Linked DNA regions of Sus scrofa. The protein of the gene in region 1 binds, or shares a complex with, the protein of each later gene. Links are inferred from orthologs where the notes say so. Each region holds a gene or a part of one and is shown in the gene's direction. Other genes may lie near its edges.

Region 1 (4,297 bases):
ACACCACCAACCCCATTGCACCACAGTGGGAACTCCTCAGAAAGTCTTTAGGCAGCCTGTCTACTAATGGGTGGGGCTGCATTCCCAGGCGGTGGGTTGGCTAGCCTCATAAGATCCAGCCATAGCCAAGGCTCCATCACTGCTGAAGCCTGGCTCATTCTTTGGTGGTATCCCAGGACATTTCTCTCACACCCAAGTTAAGACCTGCCTCCTATTTGGGAGCAGAGCCTCCCAGGAGCAATATGGAGGCCAGGCACCCCAGGTCCAAGGAGGCATCCTGAAATACAAATGCTGGACAGCACTGTCAGCTAAGGACCTGTCATCTCCAAGCCACAGCAGTCCTGCAGTGGAGGGTGGTACCCACTTGGTCACATAAAATGAGTATCCGCAAGTAGGCTGCCATTTGAACCCAGATCTTTCTGAATCAAGTTTTCTCTTTGCACTGGCCTCTTGGAAGTTCCTGTTAACCTCCAGTAAAAAGTGAGGGTGAGTTATGGGAGTGGGTCGGAGGTGTCACATCTCTCTGGGCCCGTTTCAGGTTCCAGTGCGTGTTCCGGGTGCTGCCCCAGTGCCTGCGCCCAGAGACACCCCTGCCTGGTGTGCTACTGACTGTTGAGCTCCTGTCCCTCCTGGCGGACCATGAGAAGCTCGCCCCTCAGCTCTGTTCCCACTCAGGTAAAAGTAGGCCTGGGGTGTACGTCTAGGCTGCTCCTGCAAGTTGCAGTGAAGGGTGGTGGCAGGGACAGGTCAGGGGCCTCCTGAGGGCTTCTGCAGCTTGTACCCAGGTGCTGGGTAGGGAGGGGAACCCTGAATGACAGGTGGGACATCCTTTCCAGAAGGCTGCCTCCTCCTCCTCCTGTACATGTACATCACGTCAAGGCCTGACAAAGCAGCCTCGGAGACACAGTGGCTTCAGCTGGAACAAGAGGTAAAACTACTAGAGCCCCTTCTGTGGCCTGCTCACCACCCCACTCCAGAGCCACTTTTCCTCCTTCTGGGAACAAAGGGAGCTTTAATTCATTTTGGTAATGAGTTCAGCCACTAACAAGGTAAACTCACTTGGGGAGCTCCATACAACACAGATCCAGTACAGGCGGACTTCTGGGGATCCTGGGACTTAGCAGGGTTGCCTGATAACTGATGCTCCCCTGGTTTGGGGGCCTGGTGGCTGGAGGTAGCCTGGAACGAGGTGGGTCACTGGTGAGACACAGGTGTTGGCAAGCCTCTCCTGGGAAGGCCTCACAATACTACCACCTCTAGGATCCTTAGTGCAGAGGAGCAGTTGCTGAGACAACCGGAGCTCTTAGAGAAGCTTGAGAAAGCTCTCACTGACCAAGGTCCTGTTCTGCCATGGATGGAACAGAATCTCTTCCTGTTCTAGGCCGTGTGGCTCCTGGCTAAGCTTGGTGTCCAGAGCCCCTCTTCCCCAGTTACCGGCTCCAGCTGTCAGTGCAACGTGGAGGTGAGTGCCAGGGACAAGCAGGGGCAACAGCGGTTGGCTCTGTTGGTGGGTGAGGGGGCCCCGCGCAAGGATCTGTGCTCTTCCCCAGGATTAGAGCACCGCTCAGAACCTTCCTCACCTGGGGGGCAAGGAAAGGGGCTGCCCAGCTGAGCAGGTTGTTAGGGCACAGCGACCAGAAGGCCTGACCTCAGCCTGCCCCTGTCCCAGGTGGTCAGAGCACTCACCGTGATGCTGCACAGACAGTGGCTGACGGTGCAGAGGGCGGGGGCGCTCCCGAGGACTGACCAGCAGAAGCGGACAGTGCGGTGTCTGCGGGACACAGTGCTGCTGCTGCACAGCCTGTCCCAGAAGGACAAGCTCTTCACTGTGCACTGCGTGGAGGTCCTGCATCAGTACGACCAGGTGATGCCAGGGGTCAGCTTGCTGATTCGAGGGCTTCCTGACGTGACAGACTGTGAAGGTGAGCCGGCAAGACGGCCCCTCCCTGCCCAGCCCACGTTTGGGGTTTGCCCTGGAGTCTATGGGCAGGTCAGCCCTCCCCACCTTAGGTCAGCAGCCCTCCGTGCTCACGGCCTTTGCCAGCACTGGGGCCATTCTTGTCTTCCTGCTCCGGTTCTTCTCTGAGTATTATCAGCCTGCCTTTTGCTCCTATCTGTTGAATCAGCCTGGCAGAACCACGGTTTTTCCAGAAACATCCCTGTCTGAATTGCCTTTGTATCACTTTGCTTGCAGTAGCTGAGGGAGCAAGGCCTGGGCATGGAAGGGACTGGTTAGTTCCTGTGGGCCTGGGTGTGGGAGGAGAGGTGGACTTGCTGCAGTCCCAGCGCCTTTAGGCCTTGGCCACAGAACCTTCTTCTCTTTTGGCTCAGAGGCAGCCCTGGATGACCTCTGCGCCACAGAGCCCGATGTGGACGACCCTGAGATGGACTGTGGCTGAGGCCGGGTGAACATCGAGCCACATGGTGGCACCAGCGCCACTCATTTCCTTACCTCATCCACTGATTAAAAGCAGTGACTGGCTGTTTGAGAACATACCAGCCTTTGTTTCCTGAGTCTGATGTGTGTCAGCTGATTGGGAGGGACAGAGTAGGAGCGGGATCCAAGGAAACTGGGATCCTTCTTACTGTCCCTGGAGGGAGCTGAGATCCAGCCCCTTGGTGATGAATCTGCTCTGAGGAAGCAGCCCTGCTCTGCCCTGCCTGTGGAATTGCCCTGAGTCATCGCATTGGGCTGAGGCCATGGTTAGAAACCATTGTGTGGCAGAGAAGGAGGCAGCCCTTCAGCCCAGGCCTAAACCAGGGAGGCCTGGGAAAGTGGGGCCAAGGGGTGGGTACAAACGCCATGGCAGGGGCTCCCGGCAGGCTTGAGTCCTGGAGCTCGCCTTCCCGGATAGCCCTGTCCCCTGCTGTCCAGGGGTCCTGGTGCACTGTGCCAGACAGAGATCTGAGAAGGCCTTTGAGGCAGTACTGTGGGTGCCTGGGGAGGGAACGGGTGTTGGCAAGAGGGACAGCCCAGCAGGCTGACGAGCAGGGGCGGGCTTTGCTCACACCAGCTCCTGGGCGGGCTCAGGCCCAGTTTCACTTCCCGCCACTGCTGCCAGCAGCAAGAACCAGCCAGAGAGCATTCACCCTGAGTCATTGCTGCCTGCCTGCTGTTCGGTGAGGACCCCCAAGGGGATGGGGTAGGGTGGGAGGGCTGTGGGTACCTGCTCCCCCACACACACCAGGCTAAGTGGGTTCTAGGGGAGGAGCCAAACCTTCCCCTGATCAGATAGCTGAGTATGCTGATCCCACAAAGGAAGCCACCGCACCTTCTCTGGCTTCCTGCCCACCCACCCCCTACCCTCCTTTCCTCTTATCACTGGGCACTCACCCTCCCCACCCCCACCCCATGCTCCTCCCCAGGCTCAGCGCCAGATACCTACCATGGGCTCGCAGGCCCTGCCCCAGGCTCCCGTGCAGACCCTCATCTTCTTGGACCTGGAGGCCACTGGCCTGCCCTTCTCCCAGCCCAAGGTCACGGAGCTATGCCTGCTAGCTGTCCATAGATGTGCCCTGGAGAGCCTTCCCATCCCACAGGGGCCTTCTCCCACGGTGCCACCGCCACCTCGGGTGCTGGACAAGCTCTCCCTGTGCGTGGCTCCAGGGAAGGCCTGCAGCCCTGCAGCCAGCGAGATCACTGGCCTGAGCACAGCTGTACTGGCTGCACATGGGCGTCAGTACTTCGATGCCAACCTGGCCAATCTCCTCCGAGCCTTCCTGCAGCGCCAGCCACAGCCCTCGTGCCTCGTGGCACACAACGGTGACCGCTACGACTTCCCCCTGCTCCAGGCAGAGCTGGCCATGCTGGGCCTTGCCAGTGCTTTGGATGACACCTTCTGTGTGGATAGTATTGCAGCCTTGAAGGCCCTGGAGCAAGCTGACGGCTCCTCGGAGCACGGCCCAAGGAAGAGCTACAGTCTGGGCAGCATCTATACACGCCTGTATGGCCAGGCTCCACCAGACTCACACACGGCTGAGGGTGATGTCCTAGCCCTGCTCAGCATCTGTCAGTGGAGGCCACGGGCCTTGCTACGGTGGGTAGATGTTCATGCCAGGCCTTTCAGCACCGTCAAGCCGATGTACGTGGTCACAGCCTCTACTGGAACCAACCCAAGGCCATCTGCTGCCAAGGCCACTGTACTCCTGGCCAAAGCCAGGAACACCAGCCCCAACCTTGGTGGGGACAGAAGCCCCAAGCCCCTTTCTCCAATGAAGAGCCCTGGAACCCCACCCAGGGAGGGACTGCTGGCCCCACTGGGCCTGCTGGCCTTCCTGACCTTGGCAGTAGCCACAC
Region 2 (4,160 bases), on another chromosome or scaffold:
TGCTGGCCTACACCACAGTCACAGCCACAGCCAAGGCCAAGCCAGATCTGAGCTGTGTCTGTCACCTACACCACAGTTCACGGCAATGCTGGATCCTTAACCCACTGAGCCAGGATAGGGATTGAACCCATATCCTCATGGATACTAGTTAGGTTTGTAATTCTCTGAGCCGCCACCTGTTTTGTTTTGGGGGTTTTTGGGTTGCACCCGGGGCATGTGGAAGTTCTCTGAGCTCGGGATCAAATCCATGCCACCGCAGCTACCCAATCTGCTGCAGTGACAATGCTGTATCCTTAACCTGCTGTGCTACAAGGGAACTCCTATCCACATAGTTTTACACTTACAAATCTATAATCCCTCTGGAGTGATTTTCTTTCAAAGTGGGAGGTTTAGGTGGAGGTTTTTTCTTTCCTTCCTTCCTTTCTTCTTACTTTCTTTCTGCCTATAGGTGCTCCAGCACATTTTTTGAAAAGGCTCCTGATTCTATCCTGTACTTTACCACAGCCATTCCTCCTGCAGCAGGCAATGATTTTTTTTTTTAAATGTATCAGATGATATCATGCCCTGCTCAAAATTCTCCAATGGCTTCCCACCACATCATAATCTTGCTGCTCTCCAGTTGCATTTTCTAGCACTTAATGTCCACTGGCTCTCAGGTAATCTGACTTCAGCAGGTCTATTCTACTGTCACCCCCTGAGAGAGCACACCAGTCAACATTTAAAGTACTCCTTTACCCTACCCCCTCGCTGTGCTTTTTCTCAGTAATATTTACATACTATGATATATTACATGTTAATTTGCTCATTTGTTTATTGTTTGTCTTTATTCCCAACCCCACGAGAAGTTCCAAGAAAGTTTACTGCTATACCCCAGACTCTGAAACAATATCTGACACATAGAAGGTACTCAATAAATAATTTGCTTGACAGGCTGGAAAGAATGAGCAAATGTAAAACGAGGACACTGACTACTTCTAGGTCAGGCGCTAGTTCAGTTTTCACGCAAAGTGTGAGCGCCACCTCTCGGGAAGCCAGTTTGCTCGCGAAAGAAGGAAGTGAGTCACAGATCTTAAAGGGAAAAAAAAGATGGCTGCAGCGTGCGAGAAGAATAGGGAGAAGCCGTACCGGAAGTTGAACTTCAGGAAGTTGCTCCCTTGAACGATATCCGACTGTCGGGAGGAAGCGTAGGCGAGTGGTGTTCTGCAAAATGGGCTCTCCTGCAGCCGATTATGCGCAGAAGCGTTCCGCGCGAGCGGGTGCTAGGAACCACGAGGAGCTGGGGCGTGTTTCCGGTGCGGGTGACAGGCGACGGAGTTGAAGCCCAAGTGCCCGGAGGGGTGAGAAGGGTTCGAGGTCCTGAGAGAAAAGGGAGAAGAGTGGGGTCCAGGGAGGGGGAGGTGAAGAGGTCGGGTAAGTTCCACTCGGAGAAGTGGCCAGGGGGATCGGGTGGGAGGGACGCACCCATTGACAGGTGCAAACCTGTCAGCTCACGTCCCGCGCCACGTGGACTCGGCTTTGTCCGTGGCTGCTTTTCCCATCAGTCCGTGACTGTAAGGGTTGTGCCTTATTTGTTTATATCGAGTGCAGTGCTCAGTGCTTACTGAATGAATGACAGATATGTATCAAGAGTGGGTGTGGGGAACACGTATAGGGACTGCTGTTTGTGGCTCTTTAGCCCCATGTTCTCCTAGGGAATTCATGCTTGTCTGTAGCTTCTATTAGGAGTTCTCCGCCAGTTCTTGGGCCTTGTCTCTTTTTCTTGGAGGTGCAGGGCGGTTATCATTTAAGACATTTTCTTTGCTCTTATTGAGTACTAGGCTCTGTAACTAGGTACTAGGGAAGTAAATCATCTCTGTATTCAGGGGCAGGCCTGTGAGAAATAAACAGAAAATTCACATATATTGTTAAGGTGTTGTAATAAAAGGCCAACTAAATTATAGGAAGGTAGAGCCAGGAGGTGGTGCTGCTATCCACATAGGGATTGTCTTTCAAGGTGAGGGGACTCCTTTGTCATCTTGTGGAGGCAGAGCAGGTCCTGAGTTGAGACTTCTTATCTGTAAAAGGAAGAGTCTGAAGTAGGTGGTCTCTAGGCTTTCTTCCAACAGATATTACTCATGGCTACAGTTCTCCCACAATCCACCATTTATTGGTTAGTCAGAATATTCATTAATCTTGTGATGTAGCATAAGCTGCAGAGGGTTGGGAAATCTGGATTGTGACCCTCCTTCTGGTACTCCAGATGTGTTTCCTCATTTGTAAAAGAAAAGATTGTAATGAAATAATCTCTAAACTCCTTCCTGTTATAGCATGCTGAGGTAGTAGGTCAAACTGTATTTCATACTGCCTTGTTTTAGACATCACTCACATATTATCACTGTAGTTTCCCTCATCTGGATAATCCAGAAAGATATTCTTTTCTTTTTCTCTTAATACTTCTTGTCTCAGTTCTGCCATAGTATTGGGTACCCAGTAGATGCTTATGTTAGTCCCCATTGTGGCTCAGTGGCTTAAGAAGCCGACTAGTGTCTGTAAGGATGCAGGTTCGATCCCTGGCCTCACTCAGTGGGTTAAGGATACACATTGCCACAAGCTGCAGCGTAGGTCACAGATGCAGCGTGGATCTGGTGTGGCTGTGGCTGTGGTGTAGGCCTGCAGCTGCACTCTGATTCTACCTCTAGCCTTTCTGTATGCTAGAAGGGTGGGTACAGCCCTAAAAATAAAAACAAAAACAAAAAACTGGCTTCTGCACACAAAGGCAAGGAGAGACTGAAGAAAGGCAGACCACTCCAGATTATAGGTGGCAGTTATAATGACCAAGGGAGCTTGAGGTGGCTGCTGTCACCTACCAGAATTTTAAAAGTTATGCATAGAGTCTTTAAATGGGTTTAGTCATCTATTCAGTCCAGATGGTCTCAACAACACTTTACTCTCTCAAGGCTATGTTTTGTCCTTCGAACAGCCCCTACTATGGGGACAGTAGGCAGAGTGTACCTTTCAAAAACAGAGGTGAGGAGCCTCTAGTTGCCTGGGGACGTATTCTCTCCATGACCTCCTCCAATACTCCACCCCTTGCAACTAGCTCTCACAATCTCATCCCCACTCCCCAGATGCATTGTGCCCTGAGAGATCAGCAAAGGGTGGAGGCGGCTCATTTGGCAGCCATCTGATTGCAGTGGAGGCAGATGTCAGAGCAGCATTATAGAGGCATGTGTAAGAGACGCATGGATTAAGACGATTCCCTAAATAATAACAATTTTCTCCTCCAGGAGCCTCATCATCTGAACCATTGATTTACTAAATCCCTTTGTCAGGCAGTAATAATGTCCTGCTTTGGAGGACAGCTTTTGCCATTAAAGATAAAGTGTTCCATAAAGACAGGTTTTGCAGGCTAGTATTTAAGGCTTGCTGGGTGAATTTAGTAAGGGCTTCTCTCTGTGCTATAATGCCCGTCAGGCCAAAGGAGGGGACAAAAATGGTGGCTAAATGATTGTTCCAGTGGGAAACCGAATGTGCCCATCTGGCCTGGAGGAGAGGGAGGTTGGCAGCTCTAGGAACTTGACCTAGTTATGTATGCTATACATGTTGGCCAGGGCAGGCAGCCCTGTCTGGCATGAGGAGATGGAGTAGGCGTGGGATATGCCAGACCAGGACCCCTTCCTTCTCCCCTCTTCAGAGGTGCATGTTCCCTTCCAGGTATAGCACATCTCAACAGGCCAGCTTGTGGCAGGGCTGCAGCCTCCCAGTGGAAACTGAGTAATTCCCCCTCACCCAGGGGTGGGGCTTAGTGTTCTCAGCAGCACAGTCCATTGATCCACAGAGAGAGCTGTTTCCCAAGACATTGGGTATCTTGGCAGGGGTCTCTCGTCTGGCATAAAAGGCCACAAGTTCTACTGGTTCATCATTCAAATGTATCAAAGTCTGGGACAGTACTTCAGTCCACCTGGCCAGGGTGGTTTTACTTTTTAGTACTTTATTTATTTATTTATTTATTGTCTTTTTGCCCTTTTCTAGGGCTGCTCCCGCGGCATATGGAGGTTCCCAGGTTAGGGGTCGAATTGGAGCTGTAGCTGCCGGCCTACGCCAGAGCCACAGCAACACGGGATCTGAGGCGAGTCTGCAACCTACATCACAGCTCACGGCAACACTGGATCCTTAACCCA

Evidence for each region. The genes of interacting proteins can lie anywhere in the genome.
Region 2: TREX1 (region 1) and NME1 share a complex: the UniProt entries of both Homo sapiens proteins name them as parts of the SET complex. The link is inferred for Sus scrofa from reciprocal best matches to the Homo sapiens genes TREX1 and NME1.

The regions. Positions count from the first base shown.
Region 1 is NC_010455.5:31,176,223-31,180,519, forward strand, and holds the start of TREX1 (three-prime repair exonuclease 1), read left to right. Parts: upstream 1-1,462; intron 1,463-1,669; coding exon of another isoform or gene 1,670-1,922; 5' UTR 1,923-2,331; coding exon of another isoform or gene 2,332-2,399; 5' UTR 2,400-3,387; coding exon 3,388-4,297. Other genes in the region: ATRIP (ATR-interacting protein), read left to right, coding at 539-675, 837-928, 1,382-1,462, 1,670-1,922, 2,332-2,399. UniProt on the Homo sapiens protein: Major cellular 3'-to-5' DNA exonuclease which digests single-stranded DNA (ssDNA) and double-stranded DNA (dsDNA) with mismatched 3' termini. Prevents cell-intrinsic initiation of autoimmunity.
Region 2 is NC_010454.4:27,415,120-27,419,279, forward strand, and holds the start of NME1 (nucleoside diphosphate kinase A), read left to right. Parts: upstream 1-1,317; 5' UTR 1,318-1,410; intron 1,411-4,160. UniProt on the Homo sapiens protein: Major role in the synthesis of nucleoside triphosphates other than ATP. The ATP gamma phosphate is transferred to the NDP beta phosphate via a ping-pong mechanism, using a phosphorylated active-site intermediate.